3 linked regions of the Pelodiscus sinensis genome follow. The protein of the gene in region 1 binds, or shares a complex with, the protein of each later gene. Links are inferred from orthologs where the notes say so. Each region holds a gene or a part of one and is shown on either strand. Other genes may lie near its edges.

Evidence for each region.
Region 2: the proteins of BMPR2 (region 1) and INHBB are in contact, whole or in part, in a crystal structure (PDB 7U5O), measured with the Homo sapiens proteins. The link is inferred for Pelodiscus sinensis from reciprocal best matches to the Homo sapiens genes BMPR2 and INHBB. Residues at the interface, in NP_001195.2 of Homo sapiens: Tyr40, Tyr67, Leu69, Val80, Lys81, Trp85, Ser86, His87, Ile88, Gly89, Asp90, Gln92, Ile108, Gln109, Tyr113, Phe115; in NP_002184.2 of Homo sapiens: Phe309, Asn318, Asp319, Ile322, Ala323, Pro324, Gly326, Tyr327, Tyr328, Thr379, Met380, Ser381, Met382, Leu383, Phe385, Asp386, Asn390, Ile391, Val392, Lys393, Asp395, Ile400.
Region 3: the proteins of BMPR2 (region 1) and BMP10 are in contact, whole or in part, in a crystal structure (PDB 7PPA), measured with the Homo sapiens proteins. The link is inferred for Pelodiscus sinensis from reciprocal best matches to the Homo sapiens genes BMPR2 and BMP10. Residues at the interface, in NP_001195.2 of Homo sapiens: Asp38, Ser64, Tyr67, Leu69, Lys81, Cys84, Trp85, Ser86, Ile88, Gly89, Asp90, Pro91, Gln92, Glu93, Thr103, Thr104, Pro105, Pro106, Ile108, Tyr113, Phe115; in NP_055297.1 of Homo sapiens: Tyr329, Lys333, Asp338, Ser339, Trp340, Ile342, Ala343, Pro344, Pro345, Gly346, Tyr347, Glu348, Glu395, Pro396, Ile397, Ser398, Ile399, Leu400, Leu402, Val407, Tyr409, Phe411, Ala417.

Annotation. Positions count from the first base shown.
Region 1 is NC_134717.1:56,224,584-56,234,279, forward strand, and holds the start of BMPR2 (bone morphogenetic protein receptor type-2), read right to left. Parts: upstream 3,980-9,696; 5' UTR 2,858-3,979; coding exon 2,782-2,857; intron 1-2,781. UniProt on the Homo sapiens protein: On ligand binding, forms a receptor complex consisting of two type II and two type I transmembrane serine/threonine kinases.
Region 2 is NC_134717.1:6,953,283-6,963,755, reverse strand, and holds the start of INHBB (inhibin beta B chain), read right to left. Parts: upstream 3,987-10,473; 5' UTR 3,840-3,986; coding exon 3,440-3,839; intron 1-3,439. UniProt on the Homo sapiens protein: Inhibins and activins inhibit and activate, respectively, the secretion of follitropin by the pituitary gland.
Region 3 is NC_134738.1:906,234-916,618, reverse strand, and holds the start of BMP10 (bone morphogenetic protein 10), read left to right. Parts: upstream 1-6,167; 5' UTR 6,168-6,447; coding exon 6,448-6,781; intron 6,782-10,385. UniProt on the Homo sapiens protein: Required for maintaining the proliferative activity of embryonic cardiomyocytes by preventing premature activation of the negative cell cycle regulator CDKN1C/p57KIP and maintaining the required expression levels of cardiogenic factors such as MEF2C and NKX2-5.

The sequences.
Region 1 (9,696 bases):
GGGGTGTGTGTGCAGGGTTTGTAAAAACAAATATAACCCGTGGGTTATATTAGCTAAAATACGGTAGCTTGGTGTTAATAAAGGATTTCAAAGCTGCACAGGGCCAAAATTAAGCACTTAGATGTAAAATGCACAGATTTTACTTTTGGGCAAGTGCATGGGGTCATTCACATACATATAAGGCAGGGGCGGGGAACCTCAGGTCCGGGGCCAGATGCGGCCCCTGGCTTGCTTGGATCCAGCCCCTGAGGTTCAGAGCCCTCCCCCAGCACTGGGGAGCTCACGCTGGTGCTCCAGTTCCCTACTGTCCGACCATGGAGCTGGAGCACACAAAATCTACTAGGCTGAACCCCCGTAGGCTCTAGTGTGCGAGGTGAATGTGGAGAGTGTCTTTCTCCTTCTCAGTCGAGGAGGGCCACATCAATGAGGATTTGTTTGGGGTTTTTTGCATCTCACTTGTGTGCAACCCAAAAAAGGTTCCCCACTCCTATGAGGGCAGACGTTCTCCATTTTGTGGGCGGAAGGGGGGGGGTTAGCTAAATCTCAAACCATTAGAATATTCTTAGTAGGAATATACAATCCCATTTAATTAGTTAATCTATTAGACATTAAGTTTAACCGTTTAACCAATTAACCAGGGGCAGGTGCTGTGGCCAGCCAGAGCAGCCCCTGCCTGCAGCAGCGTGGCCCAAGGAGGCCCACTACAGACATGTACTGCTCTGACCAGAGGGATGGAGGCAGGCAGGCAGCTGCTTCAGCCCATACTGATTAACTGGAACCAGTAAGCTGAGGCTTATGGGTTTACCATTCACATCTCTAATTCTTACGCACAGTTGACCAATGTTCTCTGTAAGATGTGTGCTTGGGTGGCCACCCAGGAGAGATTCAGGCATCACCCAGCTGATTAGCAAAGCACCAAAAGCTACCCACAGCTGGCAGCATGTGTTTCTACTGGTGCTGTACACCTGGCCATGCCTCAGGGAACACAAAATTTTATTCCACATGTGGGTGGGGGGTGGGGGAAAGAGGGAGAACATTTGTTGTCAGCCCAACTTTTTAAGCTGCATAGAACTTTTGTATTGTACATAATAACAGAAAAAGTATTATATAGCCACAATGTGAAAATTAGTTCCTATTCATGCATTTCACAAGAACATGACATGATGACCAGTCTCTGTACTAGACAAACCCAGGACAAAAGTAGCAGTGATCAGAATTGAGGTGAAATTGGCAAAATTCACTAAGCAGACTAGCAGGCACCTGCCCATCCCCTGCCTGGCTCAGATCAGTGCTATTAAATCTTTTTCATCAGCACAAAAAAAAAATTAACCCTCAGAAGTTTAACAAAGTGAATGAGAAAGAAAACTATTTTTCAACTCTCACATTTAAGGGAAAAGGTTAGATAATGGAATATTTTAAATGCATAAAGGTTTTAATATCAAAGCTTTTGACCTTGAAAGGTTTTATTCTTCAAAGAAATCCTCTTATCAAATTATCACAGAGAAACATGGTAAAAGTCAATCTAAAATATCAAGGTCAGGCAAAAGTCAGGCAGATGCAGGAAAGTGCTCCATCTCAATTGTTTCAGTTCAATATTTCCCCAAAGAAGGCCTTTTATAAAATGGAAGACTGTCCATTCTTAGTAAATCAATGAAGAAACTGCCTAAACACATCCAATTCACAGTATTATTCTACTATGAAAGACACTATTTTGACCACTGACCAAAATGCATTACAAGATAATTAAAATAAAGATTTGTGCCAACTATCAATCTTCTTATGCTCGCTTCACAAGAAACTTCACATTTATCTATTATCCTACACCTGAGACTTACTCAGTACATTATAAAATAATGCTGGAAAAGACTGAGGATTCTATACACTGGCTTCTGAGTGGAAAGAAAGCTACCAAAGATCTTCTACAAACTGTTAAAAGCATATAAAAGGGAGGAATAAGTATTAGCACCTAATAAACCTGGGTAACACTTCAGAGAGCTCCTTCATGCTAATCTGCCACTATGATCAAAAGCCAAAGGATGCAAGGGCTACATAGGGTTCTAGTCTCACGGCTAATTGCTCTGTGCATGTAATACTGAGCTCTAAAAAGTTTAAAATAGAGCAATTTTCCAAAAATATTATACTTTAACTTACTGTAAGTAAATAAAACGCTTAGCATTATGTATGCTCAGATCTTGCAGTATTCCTCATCACCATCTTATTTTACTATTCTATAAATCTCATGAAGATGAAAAATTTTCATTTTTGTTTCAAGCTCCAAGAAGAAATATGCATTATATAATTACCCTAAAAGATATAGCAAATGTTATAGCTATAATTACCCAATAACACTGATGTTAGTAAAATAAAAAATGGCTGTGCCCAAAGACCCCCCATTAGCAAGCAGACATAGCTCTGCTTGTGATTACAATGTATTTTTAAAATTCCAGCATTACCTCACAAAGATGTTAAACATTTCATGGAAAAAACCCACCATACCAAATTATTCTTCCTCACCCCGAAAAAATGAACACATTCCATTTATCACCATGAACAGACCAAGAGAAAATAAACCTTCACTGCAAATTGGGCTTTCTACAAAGAAACAGGTGAATGAGAAAGTCTCGAAGATGATAGGTCCTCACTTAAAAACATTATCATACTTCACTGTGACACACAGGCACTCTACTTTTTAATGGGTCACAGATATATCAAAGTACCGATGGACCCCACCCCCTTTCGAATGCCAGAATGGCTAGTATATTACACCCGGTGGCTACTTACCAGACGCAGTGCTGAGCAGCAGGGTGGCACTGGAGAGCATGAGCACCAGCATAAGGTGCTGCAGAGAGGCACTCATACCTGAGGAAGCGAAAGGAGGAGGCAGAAGAAAAAGAAAAAAAATACAGAAAAGGGAGGAAATTCCTCCTTTCGAAACAATCTTTAAAACGCTCTTGGATCACAATCCAGTCTGGAAGGGCAAACGGCAGATGACAGGAGCTGTCTGAGCTCTTACTCCTTTACACGTATCTGTCCTCATGCCTCAGGACTGGCTCCTCTTCTTTCTAGCGATCATAAGAAAAGGGGGGTTTGGTTTCCAAGCCAGGCTGCATTTCCCTTCCCCTGGGTAAGCAGTCACTCTTGCGGTCACACCGGAAACCCAGATTATTTCCCACGCAACTTGACGATATCAAAGAAGCATCCAGGTTTCGCATGAAACATATCCAGGGAGGGGGATAAGGAGAAAAATCGGCAGCAACTGTCACCTCTCCTGCCCCGGGTCCGCAGAGCCAGTGCTGAGGGCTGCGGTCAGAGGGACACCCCCATGCCGCGGACCGACGCCGTCGTCCTTCGGCCCTTTCCGCGTCGCTTAACTAGGCGAGGTCCCTCCCCGCCACTGCCATGTACAGGCGGCGCCGTGGCCCGGCCCGTCTCTGCAGGCACCCTGCTCGAGGGCGCAGCCCCGGCCCCTCGGGACTGGAGGGCGCCCAGCCGGGTGCTTCCAGCTCAGCAACGGCTCAGGCTGCAGCTCGCGACAGAGGCCCCCTCGCTCCGCCGGCGGGCAGCTCTCCAGCGCCTCGAGCAGCCACCGCGCGGAGGGAGGCGTCTCCGGACTTCAGCCGGCGGCTATGGGGTGCCGCGGAGCCCCGCGCCTTGCCACAGGCTGGCTCCCTCACGCGGCGGCGCCTGCTCCCGTCCTCGCCCCCCCGCACAGCGGCGCGGCTAGCAGGAGCGCGCGGAGGGGAGGAGAAGATCCACGCGCGTCGCCTCCCAGACCAGACACAAAGGGGAGTCGCCGCTAACTGCCAGTCTGAGCTCGCGGCCCCCTCCCCCTCCAGCAGCCCGCCTGGCCCCGCCCCGTTTGTCTCCTGCCTGCCCGCTCAACTGCCGCGCTGGTCTCCTCGCGCGAGCCAGGCCCCTCTTCTCCCCACCCTCTCGCAGAGGCCCCTGATCATAGAGGTGGGCCTCCAGGTAGCTAGAGAGGGGCTGCGGCGCCACCCTGTCAGTCTGCCTATGGTGGGGGGAGGGAGAAGGGTGTTGACAAGGGAGTTTGGCGCGCCCCGCCCGCACCGCCATATTTGTGGAGAATTGTGCGTTTGCCAGATTGCGGCCTTGAGAAAATGTGCGTGGGCGGGTGCGCTGGTCAAGGAGCTGGCCGGGTGCCTCCGCGCACAGTAGCTGCAGCAGCGCTGTTTGCAAGCCGTGAGCTCGCACTCGCCAGTGTGGCTGCCCCACCAGGCTCCTCCAGCGGCGGGGGCGGGGACACACACCCGACCGAGGCAGTCATCCTTAGGAGCTTGCTCCTGCCCATCCATGGCTGCCGGTGCAGGGCGTTCTCCGTGCGGGCTCCCCGCCTACACACGGGCAGGGCCGGGAGCTGCTGGCCCTGGCCCTGTAGCAAAGCTCCTCTTTCCTCCCTGCGGATTGGAGAGAGAGCAGCGAGGCCCCTTTCGCTCTGCTATTCCTTCATCCTCCCAACCCACCCGCATTTGCCCCCGCTCCTGCATCCACCAGCTGCCTTGTTTGTAAACTCTTCGGGGCAGAGACTGTCTCTGTTACTGTACGAACAAGTGCAGTACCCAGAGAATCCCCACTCTGCACTGGAGTGCCAAGGTGCTTCTGTCACACAAACAGCAACAGTATTTATAGTAATAGTAATAAATAATGATTGTTTGAAAAACTAAGGAGATTGTTTTTACAACTTCAGCCTACCCTTCACCTCATAAGAAACATCTAAGAGACACATGGACAAAAACAAATAACACAGTCATCCAGCAAACTCAGGAAAGACCAGATCTCATATTTCTAAATTTAAAAAAATCACAAAATTAGTTTATTTTACATTATTTGTAAATGTTACAGTATTTTTAAATTAGATATCAGACGTGACAGGAAACTCATCTGAGGCACGGTATCCAATTTTCAGTGAAATGCTGGTATTTTTAAAAACCATTTCCCCCCTCCCCCTTAGATTTTACTAACTCATAAGATTGAGTAATCCAAAGGGGAAGCCAGTGGCACAGATGGATTTGACACACTTCAAAACATTGTTAACACTCAGGGTAGGGTTTGCATGTACACATTAAAGCCTACTGACCTCTGATTCTGATTGGAAATTATGAACACCACTGTTGCCATTAGCATCATCAAAATAATATAGCGCTAGATAGTTAAAAAGTGAGCATATCCTCAGACTTCTGAATTAGATGTATATCTTCATGTAATACATTGTATAGAACTTGTGCTGTCTCAAATAAAATTTGTTTTTCTTTGTCCTCTTATTATTATTTTTGATTTAGTGACCTCCATCGGAGACTTTGAAAGCATTTTAAAACATTAATAAAATTAGCCTCAAAACTGCCAGAAATCTTGTACAATATTTTCTCATTTTTCAGCTGAAGAAACCAAGGCTATGTCTATGCCAAGATTTTTGTGATGTTCTCCCACTGTTGCTCCAGCTCTAATGTAGTTTACACCAGTTCCTCCGTTGCTGCTAGCAACTGTGGAATTATACAGGTGGTAGGAAAAACAGCCAAATATTTTCACACACAAAAATCAATGTAGGCCAGAGGGATTATATTACTTGCCCAAGATCACACACTGGGCTGGATATTCTATCATATACAACTGAAAGGATGATTGAGACTCACGGCTATGTCTACACCACAGGGTTTTTCTGGGATACCAGAAGTATCCCAGAAAAACTCTGCCGCATCCAGGGAACACGTCTGCTCTTCTGCTTTTTTTTGCAGAAGAGCAGATGCGCTCTTTCAGAAGCCCTGTCTTCCTCCTCCCACAAGGAAGAAGGACTCTTCCAAAGGAAGAGGCTTTTCTGAAATTTTGCCCAGTGTAGAGGGGCCAAATTTCGGAAAAGCCCCTTCTGAAAAAACACAATTTGCGTACCTTTTTCCGATAGATCATTGTAGTGTAGGCATAGCCTCAGAAGTATGTGATAAAACTGGGATTAGAATCTGATTAGGGCCTTATTCTCTGTCACCCTAAGATCTCTTTATATTGATCTAAAGGAGCTTTACATGGGATGGAAAAGGCCTCTTAAAAATACATTCTGTAAACCAGGGGTTTCCCCCTAGGGCTGTGGTTCTCAACTGGTGGTTCATGGACCACTGGTGGTCCATGGTGACTTTTTCAGTGGTCCACAGGAACATTGTCCACAGTCACACGGCATGAGCAGACGCCACTGTTAGGCTGTTTTACGCCATGTTCACAAGCACGCAGCACGTCATCCATAGCGTCACCTAGGACGCAACCACATTGTATTGCCAGTAACTTCCGTCTGAGGCTCTGAGTGTCAGTGTAGCTGCCACCGTCATGCTGAGCGGTTGCTGTGTCGTTCGTCCTATGCTACATGTGCTGTTTTACAGGTGTGGTGTAGTTTGTTTATAATGGCAACGACAGGAAGAAATGTCAAGTGCAAGTACTTGGAGGACTACATCAAATTCGACTTCACTTGTCAAGAAAAAGGCGGCACGGATTTGCCACAATGTGTTATTTGTTTCAAAGTCTTGGGGAATGACTCAATGAAGCCGGCTAAGCTGAAACTCCATCTCGAAAAGTGTCACCCCACCTTGTTGCAAAAGAATGAAGATTATTTTGAGCGGCAGTTATCAGGTCTGAAATGGCAGTGCCTCAGCTCAACAAGTGCATTCTACAATAAGACAAGCAATGCAGTGCGCGCTTTCTACATTGTTGCATACAAAGTTGCACAGACCAAGAAGCCTCATGCCATCGTAGAGCAACTTGTGCTCTCCTGTGCAAAAGAGATGGTGCAGCTTCCCCTTGGTGAGGAAGCAGCAAGGAAGCTGAATGATATATCTGTCTCTGAGGACACAGTATCGAGATGGATAAATGAGATATCACAGAACATCAGTGAACAAGTTGTAGATGAAATTAAGTCTCCATTGTTTGCCATACAATTGGATGAATCAACTGATGTCACATTGTGCTCTCAGCTATTGGTGTTCGCACGATACATGGTTGAGGGAGACTTCAAAGACGAGTTCCTTTTTTGTAAGGCACTTGATACCACCACAAAGGCTCAGGATGTGATGGAAATTGTTAATAATTTCTTTGAAGTACATAGTCTGGATTGGGTAAATCTTGTGTGTGTCACCACTGATGGTGTACCTGCCACGCTAGGCTCAAGATCGGGCTTCCAAATGCTGGTGAAACAGCGTGCTCCAATGGTAACCAGAGTTCATTGCTTCATTCATAGGGAAGCTTTGGCATCAAAAACATTGCCTGATAACTGAATGCCATTTTCAAAGGGTTGGTGAAAGTGGTGAATCACATCAAATCATCGTCTCTGAACACCAGGCTGTTCAAAAGATTTTGCCTGGACACTGGTTCCGACTTTGATGTGTTGATGCTCTACACTTCTGTACGGTGGTTGTCATCAGGGAACGTACTCAACAGAGTTTTTCAACTGAGAGAGGAGTTGGATTTATTTCTCCAGGCTCACAGAAAAGAGGAATTCCAAAATGTGCTGATGCAGTCAAATTTAGAACTTGCGTATCTTGTCGATATTTTTGGAATCTTGAACAAACTGAATCTTCAGCTGCAAGCGAAAGGTGCAGATCTGTTCTCTCACCAAAGCGTCATCAAGGCTTTTCTTGACAAATTGGAACTCTGGATCGTAAAAGTGGAAGGCAATAATTTAGTTCAATTTCTATATGTGGATGCCATGCTCGGGGAAAAGGAAACCATTCAAACGCAAATTGTCGATCATTTACAGAAGCTACGAGACGAATTCCAATGATACTTTCCAGAGGTGGACAGAACAAGGGATGGATTATCTTTCATCAGGAATCCATTTACAACAGATGTTGTTAGTGTTCCAGAGGATCTACAGGAGGAATTCTTGGATCTGAGAAATGATTTTGCAGCTCAAGACGTGTACCAGCAATCTACCATGGAGAAATTTTGGGCCAGCATGTCCAGGAGTTACCCAAATCTGTCAGCACACGCAGTCAGATTTCTTTTGCCATTTGCATCAACTTATATGTGTGAGACTGGATTTTTGTCTTTGTTGCACGTTAAGTCCAAACAAAGGCTTGCAGTGGAAAGCGATATTCGTTGTGCATTATCAAGTACCACTCTAAACATTGAAAAGCTTGTCAGTGAGAAGAGAATCCCAAAATCTCTTAGTAAGAAATAAATTTCAAACCAAAATGTTCATTGTCTGCTCTTTTTTATCATGTCTCAAAAGAGAGGTGGTCCATCAAAATTTTTTGATTGGCCTGGTGGTCCGTGGACTGAAACGAGTTGAGAACCACTTCTCTAGTGGCTCTCAACCTATCAAACTTTAAAATTTCCGTAACTTATGCTGGGCCCCAGAATACAAGGAATAAAAAAATGGCTTAAAGCTACTTTTGTCCTCCCATTTCTCTCCTAAACTCAAGAATGGATGAACCAAGTATCAGGCTGCCAGGTCTGTAGATTCCCAGCCCAGTACCTTGAAATGGTATCAGCAAAAGTATTATGTACACATGGTGCTCCTTTATTCAACAAATCTGTTGCTTATATGAACTGAATGTCAAATTTGTTGATTTTGATGACAATAATAAGCTTTTAACTTTTTTTTTGCACTACTCATCCTTGAAAGGGCCAGCACAGATAAGAATGAATCATCATCATCATCACCATCAACAACCATGGGTTCAGCGCCTGTTGGTGTCTGATGCCTCCCTCACTATTTCTTTCCATCTTTCCCTGTCCAGTGTGGAGTGTCTTAGTTTCTATAGACTTGCTCCACACCAATCTACTATATCATCTACTCTCTGTAGGGTCTGCCTCTCCTATTTGGACCAACCATTATGCCGAATACCAGGGTCTTAACTTTTCGCTCATTGTTCATTCTGCAGATATGCCCAAATAGCTGTAACGTCCGTTGTATAACCTTCTGCAGTAGGTTCTCTTTCGGCCGTATCTTCCTATATAATTCCTTGTTGGTGATCTTCTGCATCCATCCTATTCTCAGGATCTTTCTGTAACAACTCCTCTCGAACGTCAATATCCTTCTCTTAGAATCTTTTGTTATCACCCATGTCTCACATCCGTACAACATGCTGCTAAATACACACGTTAACGTCAACACATCCGAAATTTGGAGAAAACTGAATTTTTATTTGAAGTTTTATAGTGCTTTATTATTTTTGTACTTTTTACACCCAAAAATTTCATCGCCTGCCTAGCTACAATTAAGTTGTTTAAACAAATGTGTTGCAATGGTAGAAAAAAAATTGCGTGTCTGCAAACTGTAGATACTGGGGTCACTTACAACTTTTTTCTTTTGAAAAAGGTGGTACTTATAATTTTTTAAAGGGGTACTTTATTTAAAAAAAGGTTGAGCAACACTGTTTTATACCATTTTAATATTTTGTCCTTTAGTTATGTATAAATTTGGGCCTCAATTCTGAAAATATTTTATACTGGCAGAGTCCTATATCCTCAGAAAGCCACTGAAGTTAGGATTCTCCCCACATACAACTCATTTCAGAGCCAGAGCCTTAGTAGGTTCTCCTGGAGATGAACTCGCAATGAGTGTTGGATGTGTGGAAATATTTAGATTCCTACACAAGCAATATTCAGTTCTGCAAAATGGGTAAGTTTTAAGGACAAGATTGTTATTTGTCCAGAATGCTTGGTTCCCCTGCACAGCCTACCTATATCACTGGTCAT
Region 2 (10,473 bases), about 49 Mb from region 1:
AGCAGAGGGGTGAATGGATGGGTGAAGCAGAGAGTTATCTGCCATGGAGTAGATGGATGCAGCATCTGGCATGAAGAGATGGAAGGATGGACAGATGGGTGAAGCAGAGGGGTGGCTGGCATGGGATGGGATGGACAAATGGATGGAGAAGTAGAGGAGAGGATGCATGGATGGACAGATGGCAGAAGCTGAAGGTAGCCGGCCATGGCTGGGTGGATAGATGAATGGACGGGGCAGAGGGGTGGAAGGGATGCAGTGGCTGTTGTGGGGCAGGTCAATGGAAGGCTGAAACAGAGGGGGGGGATGGAGAGAGGGGTACACTAAGGAGTGGTTCACATGGGGTGGCTGAGACAGATGGACAGAGATGAGAGGAGAAGAGAGGAGGTGGGCAGATGAGAGAGTTGGCTGACTGGGACAGAGATGGATGGGTGGTGAGGCAGAGGGGTGGTTGCTGTGCTTTGAATGGGTGCGTGGGCAGCTAGCCTGGATGGACAGATGAGTGGGGGAGGCAGAGGACTGGCTGATGTGGGATGGCCAGCTGGCTGGCTGAAGCAGAGGTGTAGCTGGCATGGGGCAGACAGGAGGGTGGGTGAAACAGAGGTGGATGGATCAGTGGGGAAGCAGGGATGTGTCTCACCTGGGTTGGATGGATGGATGAGTGGATGAGACAGGCCTGGGCAGGCTGGCGGGATAGAGGAGTGAAGCAGAGGGGTGGTTGGCATGGGGTAGACAGAGGAGTGGGAGAAGCAGAGGTATGGCCAGGGTGGGCAGGTGGCTAGCTGGAAGGTGTAGAGAGAAGTGGCTGGATGAAGCAGAGGGATGGATGGCATGGTGTGGATGGACAGATCAGCGAGACAGACAATTGGCTGGAGGGTGGACCGACGGGTGGAGGAAGCGGAAGGATGGTAGGCCTGGGGCGGGCGGATGGAGGAGGGTACTGGACGTGTGCGTGGGGCAGGGGGCCGGAAGGATGGATTGGTGGGGCATGATGTGGACAGACCAGAGGTGGAAGGAAAGGGGCAGCTGCAATGGGACAGATGGACAGGTGTGGAGGGGTGGCTGGCACGGAGTAGACGGACGGCTCAGTGAGGCGGACGATTGGCTGGGGGGTGGGCAGATGGGACGTGAAGCAGAAGGGTGGCTGACCTGGGGCGGATGGATGGATGGGTGGGTGGGAGAAGCAGAGCTGTGGGGGGGGGGCGGCTTGGTGGGGGATGTGGACAGACTGGAGAGCGAAAGAGAAGGGGTGGCTTGCACAGGGTCGGTGGGCAGATGGATGATGCAGAGGGGGGGGCTGGCTGGGACGGATGGACAGGTGTGAGGGGGTGGCTGGCACACAGTGGGCGGATGGTTGGAGAAGTGCATGAAGCAGAGGGGGGTCTGGAATGGACATATACAATGGGTGGCTGGGTGGCATAGAAAGGGATGGGTGAAGCAGAGGGGTGACTGGCGGAGATGGATGGACAGACAGGTGGGTGGGTGGGTGGGACACCTGGGCGGTGAGGCAGGAGGGTGGGTGAGGCAGGGGGGCGGCTGGGATGGACAGACAGGTGGGTGGGACACCTGGGAGGTGAGGCGGGGGGGGGGGGGTGAGGCAGGGGGGCGGCTGGGATGGACAGACAGGTGGGTGGGACACCTGGGAGGTGAGGCAGGAGGGATGGCTGAGGCAGGGGGGCAGCTGGGATGGACAGACAGGTGGGTGGGTGAGGCAGGGGGCGGCTGGGATGGACAGACAGGTGGGTGGGTGAGGCAGGGGGCGGCTGGGATGGACAGACAGGTGGGTGGGATACCTGGGAGGTGAGGCAGGGGGGCGGGTGAGGCAGGGGGGCAGCTGGGATGGACAGACAGGTGGGTGGGTGGGTGAGGCAGGGGGGCGGCGGACACGGGGTGGATGAAGTGGAGGGTGACTGGGACAGTTGGATGGAGGATGTGCCAGGGTCGGGAAGGATTCATGGAAGGAGGTGGCAGAGGGGCGAATGGAATAGGGGTGATGTGGAGGGTGACTGGGACTAATGGCTGGTGGGGGAGGGGGAGGGGTGGCATGGACAGATGGCCGGGTGGCTGGCATGGGGACGACAGGTGGAAGGAGTAACAGAGTCTGGTACAGACCAGGGCACGTACGGGCTGTGCAGGGGTGGCTGGCATGGAGCAGACAGTGGAAGGCGATGGCCCTGAGGGGAGGCTGGTGCAGACCGAGGCGTTGGTGGGTGGCATGGGGCAGACATGGGAGGAGCGACACGGAGGGGAGGCTGGTATGGACCGAGGTGGGGATGGGTGGCATGGAGCAGACATGGAAGAGGTGCCATGGAGGGGAGGAGGATACGGACTGAGGCAGGGGTACAAGCAGGGGTGGTTGGCATGCGGTCACTGGTGGAAGGGGTGACACGGAAGGGAGGCTGGTTTGGACGTGGACGGGATGGCATGGAAGGAAGGCTGGTACGGATTGAGGCAGATGTGGAAGGAGTGGTACGAAGGGGAAGCCAGTACAGCTGGGGCGAGTGGCCTGGGGCAGATGTGGAAGGGGTGGCACAGAGGGGAGGCTGGGGCAGGTGGCATGGAGCAGAGGTGGAAAGGGTGACAGGGAGGGGAGGCCGGTACTGCCGGGGTGGGTGGCATGGGGCAGATGTGGCAGGGGTGACAGGGAAGGGAGGCCAGTACCGCCGGGGTGGGTGGCAGGGGTGGTACAGAGGAGAGGCCGGGGCAGGTGGCATGGGACAGACATGGCAGGAGTGACATGGAGGGGAGGCTGGTACCGCCGGAGCGGGCGGCAGAGGTGGTACGGAGGGGAGGCTGGGGCAGTTGGCATGGGGCAGACGTGGAAGGGGTGGCTGGGGCAGGGCAGGTGGGGCAGGTGGCATGGGACAGACATGGAAAGGGTGACAGGGAGGGGAGGCCAGTCCCACCGGGGCGAGTGGCAGGGGACAGATGTGGCAGGGGTGGCACGCAGGGGAGGCCAGGGCAGGTGGCAGGGGACAGACTGGAAGGGGTGACAGGGAGGGGAGGCCGGTCCCGCCGGGCGGGTGGCAGGGGACAGACTGGAAGGGGTGACAGGGAGGGGAGGCCGGTCCCGCCGGGCGGGTGGCAGGGGACAGACTGGAAGGGGTGACAGGGAGGGGAGGCCGGTCCCGCCCGGCGGGTGGCAGGGGACAGACTGGACGCGGTGACAGGGAGGGGAGGCCGGTCCCGCCCGGCGGGTGGCAGGGGACAGACTGGACGCGGTGACAGGGAGGGGAGGCCGGTCCCCCGGGCGGGTGGCAGGGGACACACTGGACGCGGTGACAGGGAGGGGAGGCCGGTCCCCCGGGCGGGTGGCAGGGGACACACTGGACGCGGTGACAGGGAGGGGAGGCCGGTCCCCCGGGCGGGTGGCAGGGGACACACTGGACGCGGTCGTGCGGAGGGGGCAGGGGCCGCGCGGGACGGGGGACGCGGCGCCCACCTGTCTCGGCGAAGCTGATGATCTCGGACACCTGCTCGTGCGGCGGGGGCCCGGCGCTGGCCTGCCCGTCCAGGCTGGGGATCTCCACGCGGCCGTCCTCCCGCACCTTGCCGGCGTGCAGCTTGCGCAGCGCTGTGACCATGGCCGCCTTGGGCACCGCGTGCGTGATGTTGGGCCGCTCCCGCATCTGCAGCCGGCTCAGGATGTGCCGCTTCACCGCCTCCAGGAAATCCCCGTCCACCTTGCCCGGCTCCTCGGGCCGCCGGAACCCGCAGGACGTGCAGCTGTCCTGGGGCGCGCTCCCCGCGGCGGGCGGAGGCGTCGGGGAGCCCTCGGCGCCCAGCGCCAGCCAACAGGTCACCAGCGCGGCCAGCAGCCCGCTCCACGCCGCCCCGTCCATGGCGGGCACCGGGCGCTGCAGCGGGGCTCAGTCCCGGCCGCCAGCCGCTCCGCTCAGGCCGCTCCGGGGCAGCAGCGCCCGGGGCAGGGGGGCGGGGGCCGCCAAGCTGGGGGGGAGGGCGGGAGCCAAAATGGGAGGAGCAGGGCGCTACGGTCTAAACTAGGGACAGCAGGCTGGGCAGAGGGGTGCCAGGCGAGCCCCGGGGGGGGGGGGGACACGAGGCTGGGCAGAGGGGTGCCAGGCGAGCCCCAGGGGGGGGGGACACGAGGCTGGGCAGAGGGGTGCCAGGCGAGCCCCAGGGGGGGGGGGACACGAGGCTGGGCAGAGGGGTGCCAGGCGAGCCCAGCGGGAGGGTCCACAAGGCTGGGCAGAGGGGTGCCAGGCGAGCCCAGCTGGGGGGGTCCACAAGGCTGGGCAGAGGGGTGCCAGGCGAGCCCAGCTGGGGGGGTCCACAAGGCTGGGCAGAGGGGTGCCAGGCGAGCCCAGCTGGGGGGGTCCACAAGGCTGGGCAGAGGGGTGCCAGGCGAGCCCAGCTGGGGGGGTCCACAAGGCTGGGCAGAGGGGTGCCAGGCGAGCCCAGCTGGGGGGGTCCACGAGGCTGGGCAGAGGGGTGCCAGGCGAGCCCAGCTGGGGGGGGGTCCACAAGGCTGGGCAGAGGGGTGCCAGGCGAGCCCAGCTGGGGGGGTCCACGAGGCTGGGCAGAAGGGTGCCAGGCGAGCCCAGCTGGGGGGGTCCACGAGGCTGGGCAGAGGGGTGCCAGGCGAGCCCAGCTGGGGGGGTCCACAAGGCTGGGCAGAGGGGTGCCAGGCGAGCCCAGCTGGGGGGGTCCACAAGGCTGGGCAGAGGGGTGCCAGGCGAGCCCAGCTGGGGGGGGTCCACGAGGCTGGGCAGAGGGGTGCCAGGTGAGCCCAGCTGGGGGGTCCACGAGGCTGGGCAGAGGGGTGCCAGGCGAGCCCAGCTGGGGGGTCCACGAGGCTGGGCAGAGGGGTGCCAGGCGAGCCCAACGCTGGAGGGGTGCGAGGCTGGGGGAAGAAGATAGCGAGGGAGCCCGGTTCGAGGGAGAAGCAGCCCCCAGGTGTGGACGAAGCAGGCAGGGGGCTAGGGCCGGGGAGACGGGAGTCTGTAGGCAGGGGCCAGCCGCTTCCCCGCGGGCAGGGGTGGAGCAGACGGAGCCACTCCTGCGCCCGGCTCACTCCCAAGCGGGCATCCCCGGGGCGAGCCGAGCCGAGCCGGGCGGGGGCCTGTCCGGTAGCGGAGGCTCTCAGTCCTGCGGGTCCCGCCGAGCTGGGGCCGAGCTCTCAGTCCGGCGTCATGGGGGCCGGCCGGCGGAGGTGCAATCCAAGGGCTGCCCCGCACCCCGCCCGGCCGAGCCACCCCGCGGGCGCTGGGTGCAGGGCTCCGGGCAGCTCCCCTGGCGCCGGCGAGTCTCTAGCGCGCCCTGGAGCCAGCGCCGAGCGGCGGCATCAGACCCGCACACGGGCCGGGCTGGGCTCTAGCGTCCTGCCAGGCTGCCCCGGGGGCACCGCTCTAGCGCCCCGCCGATCCGCCGGCTCAGCGCTGCGCCTCCGCTCGCTGGCGCGCCCGCGTCCTCATGGCGAGCGCGGCTCCCTCGCCGCGGGCTGCCCTCGGGCTCCACGCCGGCTGCAGCGGGGCGGGCTGGGCGGGCTCCCGGCCGCTGGGGGGAAGCGGCGGGCTCCTCGCTTATCGGCCGCTGGTCTCCGCCTGCTCCTTCCCCCCGCCCTGCAAAACCACACGACATGGGGCCACTTTCTACGGAAACTTTTATACCGGCGTGAGCACCACGTGGGGAGCGCGGCGCGCACCGCCCGGCGCGGAGATTAACCCTGCGCTGGGGCTAACGGGGCCGGTCCCCTCCTCCCCACACACCCCGCCCCATAGCACAGGGGCTGGAGTCAAAGCCGCCTCCGGCTCGCCGGGACCTCCGGAGAAGTGGGGGGCTGGGGTCAGTCCCCAGCCTAGGGCGCCTGGAGCCCCGCGGGGCAAGCGTCCGCCACACGGCGCGGGTGCTGCTCCGGGGGAGAGGCCGGAGGGGAAACAGAAGCAGCTTTGGGCACGCACCGGCGGCAGGAGGGGAGAGCGAGGCTGGCACCGGGCTGGCTGCCAGGCGCAGAGAGGCGCCCGACCCGCAGGCTCGGGGCGGGGGGGGAGCAGCAGCGGGAGGGTCTCTCCTCTGGCTCCTCAAGGGATCCCGGTAACCCCCGGCGACCGCTCCGGGAGCCGGCCCCTCGCCAAGCGCACGCCTCGCCGCCCCCGACCGCGAACCCCCAGCCCGCCCCACCCGGCCCGCGGCAAGCTCCCCCACACAGCCCCGAACCGCCACCCAGGAAAAGTAACACAACATACACCCTGAGGGCACAGCGGAGCTAGGCTCCCTGCTCCGCTGCCCTGGCACAACACAGCTCCACACCTGGGTAACTGCACCCACCAGTCAGCTGCGGCACGCACCGCACTGCACAACTTCATACCTGGGTAACGCACCAGAGCAACTGCAGCATACACACCACAACTCTACACCTGGCTAACGCAGCACACAGCTCAACACCACACCAGGGGAACACACTATCCACCAGCACAGCACAGCTCCACAGCTGGGTAACACACCAGCCAGCAGTCTGCAGCGCACACACCGCAGCACACAGTACAGCCCCCACACCAGGGTAACACACCAGCACACAACTCCACCTGGGTAACAGCAGCCAGCTGCCGCACACACACCCCAGCACACAACTCCACACCTGGGCAACACAGCAGCCAGCTGCAGCGCACACACTCCAGCACACAACTCCCCACCTGGACAACACAGCAGCCAGCTGCAGCACACACACCCCAGCACAACTCCCCACCTGGGCAACACAGCAGCCAGCTGCCACACACACACCCTAGCACACAACTCCCCACCTGGGCAACACAGCAGCCAGCTGCCGCACACACACCCCAGCACAACTCCACACCTGGGCAACACAGCAGCCAGCTGCCGCACACACACCCCAGCACACAACTCCCCACCTGGACAACACAGCAGCCAGCTGCCGCACACACCCCAGCACACAACTCCACACCTGGGCAACACAGCAGCCAGCTGCCACACACACACCCCAGCACACAACTCCCCACCTGGACAACACAGCAGCCAGCTGCCGCACACACACCCCAGCACACAACTCCCCACCTGGGCAACACAGCAGCCAGCTGCCGCACACACACCCCAGCACACAACTCCCCACCTGGGCAACACAGCAGCCAGCTGCCGCACACACACCCCAGCACACAACTCCCCACCTGGGCAACACAGCAGCCAGCTGCCGCACACACACCCCAGCACACAACTCCACTCCTAGGCAACACAGCAGCCAGCTGCAGCACACACACCCCAGCACACAACTCCACACCTGGGCAACACAGCAGCCAGCTGCCGCACACACACCCCAGCACACAACTCCACTCCTAGGCAACACAGCAGCCAGCTGCAGCGCACACACCCCAGCACACAACTCCACACCTGGGCAACACAGCAGCCAGCTGCAGCGCACACACCCCAGCACACAACTCCCCACCTGGGCAACACAGCAGCCAGCTGCAGCGCACACACCCCAGCACACAACTCCCCACCTGGGCAACACAGCAGCCAGCTGCCGCACACACACCCCAGCACACAACTCCCCACCTGGGCAACACAGCAGCCAGCTGCCGCACACACACCCCAGCACACAACTCCCCACGTGGGCAACACAGCAGCCAGCTGCAGCACACACACCCCAGCACACAACTCCCCACCTGGGCAACACAGCAGCCAGCTGCCGCACACACACCCCAGCACACAACTCCACTCCTAGGCAACACAGCAGCCAGCTGCAGCACACACACCCCAGCACACAACTCCACACCTGGGCAACACAGCAGCCAGCTGCCGCACACACACCCCAGCACACAACTCCACTCCTAGGCAACACAGCAGCCAGCTGCCGCACACACACCCTAGCACACAACTCCACACCTGGGCAACACAGCAGCCAGCTGCAGCGCACACACCCCAGCACACAACTCCCCACCTGGGCAACACAGCAGCCAGCTGCAGCGCACACACCCCAGCACAACTCCACAGCTCACCTGGGAAGGTGCGATCCTAGCGCATCCGCCAGGGCTCGCTCACCTGTGCCGGGCCGGGCAGGTGCTTTCCCCCGCTGGCTGCCGCGCGGGGCTCACTCGGCGGAGCAGGTTCAAGACGCGCTGCTGCCGGGCACGTTGCAGGCACCTCCAGCCTATGGGGTAGGCGGCAGCCTCCGGCGCAGGAAGGCTGGGGAAAGGGCGCCGCCTATCGCTCGCGGCTGGAAACGGGCCAGCTGGCCCAAGGCAGCGAGGATGCAGAGGGTGAGGATTACACACAGCAGCCCGGAGTAAGTGTTACCTTTCAGTTAATTAGCGTCTTGCGCGCAGGCCACCATCCTTCCCTCGGCCAATTAGCGCCCTTCAGCCAAAAGGCCCGCCGGTATTTTTTGCAGAGGTCGAAACTGCAATACAGAGGAGGCAAGTCCACCCCCACTTTGCAGACGTGGTCTCTCAACGTGAGTGATCCATTTGAGAGACCTGGGGTCTGCACAGTAGGGAGCCTCTTTCAAGCCTTCCCCATGGCGGAGAAGAAGCCATCTAATATTTAAAGGCTGGGACGAAGCAGCACAGCACAGAGCAAATTTTTTCCTCCACCAAAGGAGCTTTGTTGTCACTTTGCCAGAGATACAACAAATGCCAGGTATGTGTCATGAGGTAATTGGGTCAAGTGTAGTTGCCCTCCCTGTCACAATCTGGGCTAATCTCTGCCCAGCACTGAGTCTGCTCAGCTGACAAAAACATTAAATCACATCTGAACACCCTATCCCTTGCCAGCAAAAAGAGGGCTGGATATTGGGGTTCCCATAATGCTGTTACAAATAACTGCATGGACAGCTTACCCCTCCAGCAGGTTCTGAGAACTGCAAGTCATTTGTTTTAATTCCATAGTCTGTTTCTGGGGGATTTGGGAATGTTTTGCTCTTAACATATTCTTAACTATTACAGTCAATAACTTGATCTTCTCCTTTGCACTTCATATTACAAATACAAATGCTAATGTTTTTGAATAGGTGGTATGGAGAGGCTATATCAACAGTTTAGCATAATCATTAGAAATGCTTCAAGGTTTTTTTGTTTTTTTTTTTTTGTCTGTAAAACTGGCAACATATTTACCTACTACACACTATTAATGTTTTAAACTATAAGGAAGGAATAGTCCTTTGGCACCTTAGAGACGAACAAACATATGTGAGTGTGTAGTATCATGAGCTTTCGTGGACAAAACCCACTTCTTCAGATGAACTTTTCCCCACTCAAGCTCATCTGAAGAAGTGGGTTTTGCCCATTCTTTATCTCTGTTAGTCTCTAAGGCCATGTCTTCACTGCATGCTTATTTTGAAATAACCCATGTTATTGCTGTCTATACAGCAAGCCCGTTATTTCAAAATAAAGGGCTTCTTACTCCAACTTGTGTAACGCTCATTTCATGGGAAGAAAGGGAAGTCGAAGGGAGAGTGTTCTTCCTTCGACTTCTTGCTGTATAGACAGCATCAAAAACTGAGTTAAGCTCCTTCGTCTTCAGCTACGCAATTAACGTAGCTGAAGTTGCATATCTTAACTCGACTTTAGACATACCCTAGACATACCATACCCAGTGAAGACATACTCTAAGGTGCCACAGGACTATTCTTTTTAAAGTTAAACTAACCCAGCTATCCCTCTGAGACTTTATAAGGAAGAAGGGTACTCTTGTGATTAAAGAAAGAGATGATCTGGAATTTTTCAGTTCAACTTTTTTTTTTTAATGTCAATTAATCGAAACTGAAACTTTTCAGGGAAAGGTTTTAGAGAGATAGCTGTGTTAGTCTGTTTCAGCAAAAACAACAAAAAGTCCAGTGACACTTTAAAGACTAACAAATACCCTAATAAATCTGTTAATCTTTAAAGTGCCACCAGACTCCTCATTGATTTTTCAAGGAAATGTATCCATTTGGACAAAATCTTCACCCAATAGGTCTTTCACCTCCTATAGTGGAATTTCTGGTCAGAGAGACTCATCCCTGTGGTTTTGGCATTCACCTGCATTGTGAGACCTTCATTCAAACCCCTGCTCCCTGACTGATTGCTAACACTTAGGTCTCCCACATTCCAGGCAAATGTCTAACTGCTGAATCTAAGTGAGTCTCTCTCAATCTCTTCTGTGGGAATTATTCCACTTTGATTAATTAATTGTACATCCAGTTAAGCCAGGGAACCATCAGGCTACAGAGTTAGTCCTTCAGTCCCAAATTTGGAGCAGAGATTTGGACCTAGATTTCACACATAAATGCCCTAACTACTAGGCTACTACTTATTTTAGATTCTTGCTTTGTTGGGAAAATATTTGGAAAAGCTTATAGTTCCAATACAACACCAAAACCAAGTGTCAAAACCACAATATTTATCACAAAGTGGAATGCTTGTTTGGAGCCAGCCCCTAAATTAGAGCACAGCACTGGGACACAGGAGAACTGTCACAATGCTGCCACATTTTTCCAGTGACCTTGGTCAAGTCACAAACTCATTG
Region 3 (10,385 bases), on another chromosome or scaffold:
TAACACATCTCTGGCAAGCACTCTGGAAGGGAATTTACAGTATCATTAATAATAAAAAATTTCGTTTGCACTATACATTACATGGCATTTTTACAGCCACTCAGGATAGATTCAAATGCCACCCAGCCAATTAGCAGAGCCCCCACAGATAGGTTTTTGTGCCTGCTGGTGATGCACATCCACACATGCCTCAGTGCACATAAAATGTATTACACACAGAGATGGACAAAATCCATACATGGACGGAAAAGATTAGAAGGAACATTGTAAGCAACCCCATGGCTCTGATGCAAGTCCCCTTGAGGCCAATGGGTTTCTTTCTGTGGATTTCAGTGGGAGTGGGGTAAGGCCCTATGTTCACAGCTGATTTGCTTTAATCCCGAAATAACTACCTGTTAAATAAACATGGCCGAAGAGCGGTGCTTTTTTGAGCGCTCTTGAGTGCTAATTGAAATGATCTTTCTGTTTTTATGCTACTCCCTCACCTGAATCTGCCTAAGGGGCCTTACTGTGTTTTGGGCAGGTTATCAGGTTAGCTACCAATAATAAAAAAGGTACCACCAGCCACTGGGCCAGGCTGCTACCAGTCCATCCCAGGTTTGTCTGCATCTAAGACTGGCATGCCCAGTAAAGAGTTCTTTCCTGCAAAACTGCCTACCTGCCACATCACTTATTGTTCCAACAAGCACACTGTTTATGCAATAAAGTTAATAAAATTCTTCACACAACACATCGTCAACCCATGGAACTCCTTGCCAGAGGTTGTGAAGTCCAAGGCTATAACAGGGTTAAAAAAAAAGCTAGATAAATTAATGAAGGACAGATCCATCAATGGCCATTAGCCGGAATGGACAGGAATGGTGTCTCTAGCCTCTGTTTGCCAGAAGCAGAGAATGGGTGACAGTGGGTGGATCACTTTTTCTGTTTATTCTAGGGATGGGGAACTTAAGGCCTGGGGGCTGAATGAGGCCCCCGGTTTGTCTGGATCTGGCTGCTGCAACTCAGGGCTCCCCCCCCCCAGCATTGGGGAGACCTCGCTGTGGCTCCAGTCCTCTGCTGTCTCCCTGCAGGGCTGGAGCACACAAAGTCTACTGGGCTGCTCCCCCTAGGCTCTGGTATGTGCGGGGAACGTAGGGAGCGTCTTTCTCCTCAGCCGGGGGCCACATCACTGAGGTTTGGTTGGGTTTGGTTTTTTGTTTTTCTTTTAAACTGGACAGGTTACTGGGCTTGATGGACCTTTGGTCTGGCCCTATATGGCTGTTCTTCTGTTCTAATAACAATAGGAAGGATCAGGAATATTGCCTCTCCAGCTAGCATAGGTTTCTGCGTTTTGTTCAAAGGAAAAAAACCATGTCATTCTTGTAAATGAATTTTAGAGGAAAAATTAACTAACATTTCTAGGTCTACAATTCAGCCTTTTAATTCGGCAAGAAGGCTGCATGGTTTAAATTCTTCATCCTCCAAAGCAAAGGAAACAGGAAACTGCTTTTACACCAGATGTCATCTAGTGGTACTGTACATCTGGCAACCCACCAACAGCTGTACAGAGGCTAAGCCATGTGAGCTAAGACATTCAGCAGTAGGCTGTGTTGCTTACATGAGGTGTTCAACAAGTTCTCAAACAAGAAAGGAAACACGAAGAAATTTACAATGGTTGAGCTGTAATTCTGCTTGTAACAAGGTACTGGCACATTTGTAGCTTTCAGAGACATGTGTCAGATTCCCACATGTGCTCCAGCCTTTACTTAGGCAACGGTGTCTGCTGGCTGCAGAATGTGCCAGTCATTGTAAAGCTTTGTGATTTTATAGCCAAACTAGCAGACTTACCCAGTGTCGCCCAGGCCCTTGAAGGTAGGGCTTTGGTGATGTGGAGGGGAGGGTGTGCAGGATGCAGTAGACAGAGGGGGGCAATAGTGAGGGTTGTTCCTTCCCCCCAGTCTGCCCTAGCCTACCAGGGGCTGTTCTCTCCCTGCCAAGGCTCTCCCATCTGCCTCCAGGGGGCCTGTTCTCCAACTTCACATGCAAGAATGATAGAAACGTGTCCCTGGTCTCTGTCTGTCAGAGGCTGGAGAGGGATGGCAGGAGACAAATCGCTTGATCATTGTCTTCGGTCCACCCTCTCTGGGGCACCTGGTGCTGGCCACTGTCGGCAGACAGGCTACTGGGCTAGATGGACCTTTGGTCTGACCCAGTACAGCCATTCTCATGTTCTTATGATAAATGCACAAAAATAGTATATAAACATTCAGCAGACTGTCTATTAAAACTGATAGATTATATGAGGCATATATATATGTCTAAAGCATCTTCATAATATGCATATTCATATTCATAAGCCAATATTCATTAAGTTTGGGAGGGGCACGACAGCACTAATTTGTAACTTTCTTAATCTCCGTTTCATTATGGATGTAAGGTCACCTCCCCAGTGCTGCATGGCCAAGAGATGAATCATTCAAAAAAGGAAGGTTGCGAGTCCACTTTTTTGAATAAATAGCAATCAGTGGGATTCAGATCCAAAATCTCACAAAGTTTTTGGCTGTTCAGCGTCACAAAACCACAAGCTCATAGACTCATAGATAGCCATGCAATTCAGATCCTGCTCTGAATGCTCCTTCAAGGTTCAGGATCAGCTGCTTCTGAGTGGACCTATGTGTAACAATAAAAATGAGGAAAAACTTAAAAAACAACAAATAGTCTGGTAGCACTTTAAAGACTAACAAAATATGTAGATGGTATCATGAGCTTTTGTGGTCATGTCCCATTCCTTCAGATGACCAGAGCATTGGATGTCAATTAGGGTATGTCTAGACTACATGGCTCCGTTGACGGAGCCATGTAGATTTGTTTTTTTGGCAAAGGCAAATGAAGCCGCGATTTAAATAATCGTGGCTTCATTTAAATTTACATGGCTGCCACGCTGAGACGACAAACAGCTGATCAGCTGTTTGTCCGCTCAGCGCGCTAGTCTGGACGCTCCCCTGCCGACATCAAAGCCCTTTGTCGGCAGCCCCGGTAAACCTCATCCCACGAGGAATAACGGGGCTGCCGACAAAGGGCTTTGATGTCGGCAGGGCAGCGTCCAGACTAGCGCACTGAGCGGACAAACAGCTGATTAGCTGTTTGTCGGCTCAGCGCGGCAGCCATGTAAATTTAAATGAAGCCGCGATCATTTAAATCAAGGCTTCATTTGCCTTTGCCTACAACCCTAATCTACATGGCTCCATCGATGGAGCCATGTAGTCTAGACACAGCCTTAGGTTGGTCATTTAGGCCTGGTCTACATTAAAGGAGAAAGTCAACTTCAGATATGCAACTCCAGCTATGTTAATTATGTAGCAGGAATCAAAATATCTTAAATTGCATTTTGGCACCATTCACACGCAGGAGGTCAACAGCAGCACATGCTCCCTTCGACTTCCCTTACTCCTCGTAGGAGCAGGACTACCGGCACCGATGGGAGTGCCCTCTCAGTTCGAATTAGCAGATCTTCACTACACTCGCTAATTCAAACCCCGGAAGATCGACTGAGGCAGCCACAGTCTTCTCTGTAGTGTAGACAAGCCCTTACTGTGTTAAACTGCCGTGGTAAAAAGGCAAGCTGTTTGAGAGGAGAGTTTCTGAATGAAGCAAAATAGCAAAGGGACACACAAATATATGGCTCGGTGCTCTTAATGAACAGTGCTCTCTGTGAATATAATCTGAATAAATACAATTATCCTTGTTCAAAATTGCATCGTGAAGTGAGCTAGAGTTGTTTCCCTTGTGCCAAGATGGCAGTTGACCTATTTGAGAAGAAACAGCATCTGGACAGTCACAATAAATAGATGTACCAAATGGACAGGATGTGCTCAGTCCTAACTGAGGAGTGGAATTGTCCAAGGCATGTCTACACAGAAGCATTATTTCTGAATAACTGATGTTATTTCGAAATAAGAAAATGAGTGTCTATACAGCAAGCCGTTATTTCGAAATAATGTCAAGCTGGAGGGCTTCTTACTACAACTCCTGTAACTCTCATTTCACGAGGAGTAAGGGAAGCGGAAGGAAGAGTGCTCTTCCTTCGACTTCCTGCTTTATAGACAGTGCGTAAAGCCGAATTAAGCTATTTTGGTTTCAGCTACACAATTGACATAGCTGAAGTTACGTATCTTAATTTGACTTTTGCCCTGCTGTGTAGACGTGCCCCAACAGAGCTTTGCTATTTCAGTCAAACCATGCGCTCTTTAGTTCTTGCAGATATACCTCACAATGAAGTCAGACACCTTCTGCTACTAACAAAGAGATTCTCCTTTGCATCAAAGGGTGGAAGGCTGGGTGTTTGGCTCAAAAGGCATGCGTTCTAATTTTCCTGTCACAGGGAAGTTCCCTGTGAACACTGGGCCAGAACAGAGACAGATATGGTCACAATTTTCAACTTACATGGTTGCTTTGGTTTTACTCATTTGTCTGCAGTCCTCAAACTTTTTGGAAATTTCAAAAATCTGACCATCCCCACACCCCAGCCCAGAATTTGTTTTTTCCGGAAACACACTGAACATTTTCCATGAAAACTGTGCTGTGGTTTTCAACCCGATCTGCTCATAACATCCTGCCCCTGAGCCACGGCGCGTTGATGTGGCCAGAAGTAATGCTGGTGTCTCTGCAGCAGACTAGAGGTCCCTTGAAGTTTAGTTTCATGCCAGTTACAGCAAAGCTCTCTGGCGGGGGATGGTATGACGGCAGCATATGGAACAGAGCTTGAGTGAATGTAACCTGCCATGCCAGACACATAAGAGGCGTGGGAGAAAGGCGGCATTTTAGGAGCCAGTTGCAATTGTTTCAGTGCTCCCTGCTGAGTTTGTTTCTACACATTTCTGTGGAGCCCGTCCCCAGAACAGCAGGTGTTCAATGGGAACCTGTGGTTTCTAGAGAGAATAACTAGCTAAAATATCTGATATTAGGAAATCTGATATTAGAAATGGCAATATACAAAATTATCACAAATCTGATATTAGGAATGGCAACATACAAAAACCTGTAGGGGAACACTTCAATCTTTCTGGACACACAATTGCAGATCTAAAAGTAGCCATCCTGCAGCAAAAAAACTTCAGGACCAGACTTCAAAGAGAAAAACTGCTGAGCTACAGTTCATCTTTAAGTTTGACACAATCAACTCTGGATTAAACAAAGACTGTGAATGGCTTGCTAACTACAAAAGCAGCTTCTGCTCTCTTGGAATTCACACCTCCAGATCAGCTGCTAGAAGTGGGCCTCATCCTCCTTGATTGGATCCACCTGGTCATCTCCAGCCTGATCCTGGCCTGCATATTTATTCCTGCCTCTGGAAATTTCCACTACATGCATCTGATGAAGTGGGTCTTTGCCCACGAAAGCTTATGCTCCTACACTTCAGTTAGTCTATAAGGTGCCACAGGACTCCTCGTCGCTTTTGCAGATTCAGACTAACACGGCTACCCCTCTGATACTTAGCTAAAATAAACACCACTAAAAACATTTGCTAATTGCCTTCTATTTGTACAGGACAAGCTGGTGGTGGCAGCCCAGGGGCAAAATGGAGAACCAGGAACAGCTCTGTTGGCCATGCCCAACCTCATCCCTGCCTGCGTTTCTCCTGTTCCCAAAGCCCCTTTCCACAAGGAAGCCCTGCATGACACACCAGCCCAGATGCAAGGAGCGCAAACTCTCTGCTTCCTACTGCTTGATAGAATCACACCAGTTTCACTGCATTTAGCACCTCCCGTGGTGTTTAGATTGTTTGTTATTTATATTATCAGGGTGCCTAGGAGCCACAGGCATGACTCCCATTGTGCAGGTGCGTACAAACAGAACAAAAGGATGGGCCCTGCCTCAAAGCGCTTTTCAGCCAAGTAAAGACTTTCCTTGGGCTGGAGAGTTTACTAACTCTTAATATTGAAGGAGGCTTTTGTTTACTGTTGGTACAGAATACAAAATCCTAGACGTAGGCTCTGTGTCATTTGCATGTTTGCCTGAAAGCATAACAAAGTTGCATGGATAAAACTTGGCCATACATGCCAAAGAAAGTCAGCTCCAAGGGAGAAAGAAAGGGCAGATCCTGTCCAAGGAGAAAATTGTCGTATCTCAATATGTCCAAGTGCAGAATGTTTACAAAATGCTCATTAAGGGAAAGGGGGTTTGTGAGATAGCAACAGAAAATCTGGTGGACAGCTTACACTGCAAGAGATAAGAGAGGCAAGGCTACCATAGGCGAGCGTGTGTTATATCCAATTACTGAGACCTGGTTTTGGAGGGTGTGTGGGGAGGCGGGAGAGAGAGTGAGGACTGATCACAAGTTTCAGGCAAGGGCTTCCAAACTTGTCAAGTCTGTGACACAAGCTGCGCACAAACCAGGGGATAAAATAGCCACTTAGCGCACACAAGAGCTAAACCTTGGTGAGTGCGGCTGGACGCTAACGCGAAGGAATGGATACTGTTGCCATTCAGTTGTGGGCAACCCTCTCTCTGCTGGTGCACCTTGCTGCTTGCAGCCCCATCATGAGCCTGGAGCAGTCGTCCCTGGAAGAAGATGTGCCCCTCTTTGATGAACTCCTTTCAGAGCAGGAAGGTGTCGATTTCAACACGCTGCTTCAGAACATGAAAAATGAGTTCCTGAAGACGCTGAACCTTTCTGACATTCCCCTGCATGAAAAGTCTAAGGTGGAGCCCCCAGAGTACATGTTAGAGCTGTACAACAGGTTTGCCACTGACAGGACCTCAATGCCATCGGCAAATATTGTTAGAAGCTTCAAAAATGAAGGTAAGATCCATGCTCCTCTGTGAACGAAGAATAACTGGGCATTGCTCAGAACCGACAAGGCACTTCTTCCCAATGTGTGGAGCAAGACGACTTAATTGGGGAGAAAAGGAGTTGACAGTGATTAGATAGAGATGCAACTGGAGCTAGGGAACTAGCATGGCCTGTGTCTATAATGAACAGCTCACATTGCTTGTCTGATGTAATCTCGCCCTCCTTATTTTATATCCTTGAGCCAGTGAGCGTTCTGGGGCAGGAGCAATGTCTTCCTTTGTGTTTGTGTATTGTGGGTGTATTTATTTATAAATAAATTGTCATAGTTCCAGGAAGCATATGCATCATTTATATGTTACCTTCATACGCATCCGATTTTTAAATGGAGATGGCAACTTATCTTCCTTATTTGATTAATGAGAAAAGGCCTCTTTCACCACCCATGCAATAGTACAAATTCTCATTTGGAAAGCCAAATTTCTTCATGGATTCCCAACCAAACAACAAATGGCTTTCTGGAAATATTTTCCCAATTTAGTTCCTCAATTATTGTGTAAAATAAGGTCAGTAGAATATATAGAAATGTGTGCGGCTAGCATCTCTCTATAACAACTTTTGCCTCACCATTTATTTTTGAGAGAATAAAATTTGTAGTGATTAGACAGGGATGCATGCCTTTTTTCAAAAAAGGTAACTAAAATTTTATAGAATTATGAGTTTAGACTGTTACGAATATTGCGCAATTCAACATTTTCCTGAAATTTCTACACAATTCGGGGAATAAAAAGCTCTCATGCTATTACTGATTCTTCATGCATGAGTACCAATATGGAATATGGGTTGAAAAGGCTTTTCAGAAAATCATTATGTCCCAAAGTAGCAGTCTCAATTTTACTGATGAAGTTCACAACTACAAGATAACAGAGCAAAGACTGAGCCTATGTAACCTAAATTTGACAACTCAGTTTTAGATTCTATAACTGCTTGTGGGCTAATCTATACCTTGCTCAGACGCATGCATTCTTATCAAGCTACATGTTTCTGGTTTTAAAAGGCTCCGCTTTACAGTTCAAATCCACTTTAACTTTGCATTTCTTCTACATATAGACAGCATTTAATTCATTGAGGGCTGCACTGAAAGTGACTTATGCATACTGAAGACCTCAGGGCAATTTGTGTGTAGAGAAGGGATTCACAATCTGGCCCTGAAGGAATATGGAATAATGATTCTGACACTTACAATTTTAAGATGAAAAGTAATAGGAAAACTAATGGACTGTAATTGGGAAAGCAGAGTATACTGAGTGGAGAATGCTATGTGTTTTACTAGTGTACATATGCAGTAATTCCATTAGTTACAATAGAATCATTCCAGATTTATATTGCTACTTAGAGGATTTGCCCACTGTTGCTCAAGTCCTTAACTGAAATAATTTTAAAAACAACAAGCAGTCCTATGGCACCTTAGAGACTAACAAATATAGAATATTATGAGCTTTTGTGGGTAAAACCCACGTCATCAGATGAACTAATTTTTCTTCATTTGATTCATTGCTCTCGGGAGGGGGGGGGGGTCAGTGTGCAGGCTGCCCTGGGGAGAGAGGATAACCCCAGCCCTCTGTCACCACAGCAGCTTGGGGCCAGGGAGAAGTGCCTGTTCATGGAAACTGCTGGGGGAGGGGTGCATATCTCCCAGCTGGGCAACACACAGACAGACAGACACACACACAAACTCTCTCAAATATATAATAGATACTATCCTTTTCTCCACCCCGTGCACTGCTGCCCCAATAGGATTATAACTGTCCCATTCCCCATCTCTGGCCCCTTGCTGTCCCCCTGTGGTCATTATACACTATAACTGTCCCTCTTAGCAGACCCCTCCCTTTCTGTTTTGTGGGAAACACTCACATTCCAGGCACATCCCATTGTCTTGGCACAACCAAACCCTGACCTTGCTTTAAGTTTTGATAAGAGGAAGCTGCCTACCAAATTTGGTGTTCCTAGCTCTTACTGTTTAGGAGGAGTTCTTGAACAAACAGACTCACAGATGGACAGAGAAACACAGACACACAAACTCTCTCAAATATATAGTAGATTGATGACATCAGAATCCATCCTTCATTTTTAGTAAATGGAACAATGCAAAGATCCATTAATTTTCATAAACACAACAGTTTCCAAGCAGCGTGTTCATCACCACAAAGTCTGCAATGGCAATGTCAAATGCAGAGTAACTTACTACCTTCTCAGAAGGTTCCTGTCCTTTCTTCTAGTCCACAACTTCAGAAATAAATTCAGATACTTGTATTCTAATGCAAATGCTCTCCATAGGCACATGTATACCACAGAGGGTCTATTTCAATTGTCTCTGCTTTGTATGTCTAAAAAGTCATTAACAATTAGGGAACCTGGATTATATGGCACATGAGTAAACTAAAGTGCTTGCATTTATTACTGATAAAAGAGATGGAACAGATCACACCGTGCAATGTTTATACTCATCAGCTTGTGGTAGTAGATGATGATAATGGAAATTGCATGGTTGAAAGCAGTAGAACTTGATGACAGTTGTTCATTAGCGGTTTTAGCTCATGGAGTTGTCTGGCTCTGTTGCAGCTTGGATTGTAATGTGGTCGTTGCTTAAAAACTGAAATAAAGCTTTCTGGGCTAATTTGTCCTCCTTCAGACACCAGTGTGTCCTCATTGACACCAATGAGGATGTACAGGAAATAGTGAAGAGTATTTGACCCTTTGAGTTTTCTTGCTCAGTCTGTCTTGTGGGCAGTTGCCAGTTCTGATTTATTTTTCTCCCTAATCAGGAAGCGAGACACCCAGTTTCCCACAAGAGTGTGTCTCTATCCCTTCCAATGATTGATTCATGTCCATTTTCTGTGACTTTTCCCCACCCCAAGACCATATGTATCATCATAACAGTGGACTTGTTCTCCAGCAGCCTGGGGGTGGAGGTGGGCGATAGGGCTGAGGGGCTGTAGATCACTGAGTTCTGGTGCCACTTCCAGTTGTGAAGTGGGACACATTCACTAGACAGACAGCCTATGGATTTACAAACATCAACAAATTCCAAAGACCGATTAAAGTCAATTATTCATGTGCTGATGTGCTTCGCTAGCTCAGGGCCAATATTTGTAGCTTCGTCAACCAAATGTTTCCATAAATGTATCAATCCCAGAGTCATAGAAATCTGAGATGGGAAAATGTACAGGATCCATGCAGTCCATCCCCTCAGCTCCTGTCAGCATGTCCGCTAAGTCTCTATTTCCCAACCTGGTTTCAGAGTCATTATTGAATGAAATGTAGCAATAAATACAAAGCATTTTGTTAAATTGCCCATATGTATGAAGAAATGCAGATGGGGCATGTATAAACATGATGGATAAATAGATAGATGATCATTTGTTTGTTATACATCTGATTCATTAATACTCTCAAAAGCTAAGTATGTACAGTAGTTTTCTTTTGCTCTTTTCAAGACAGATCCAAACACCACTGATGTCAATGGGAATATTTCCATGGCTTTATTGGGTCTTGGCCCAAGACCCGAGTTCCCATTCCTCCTAGTTACAAGCCTTTGCATCACCCTAAACAATTT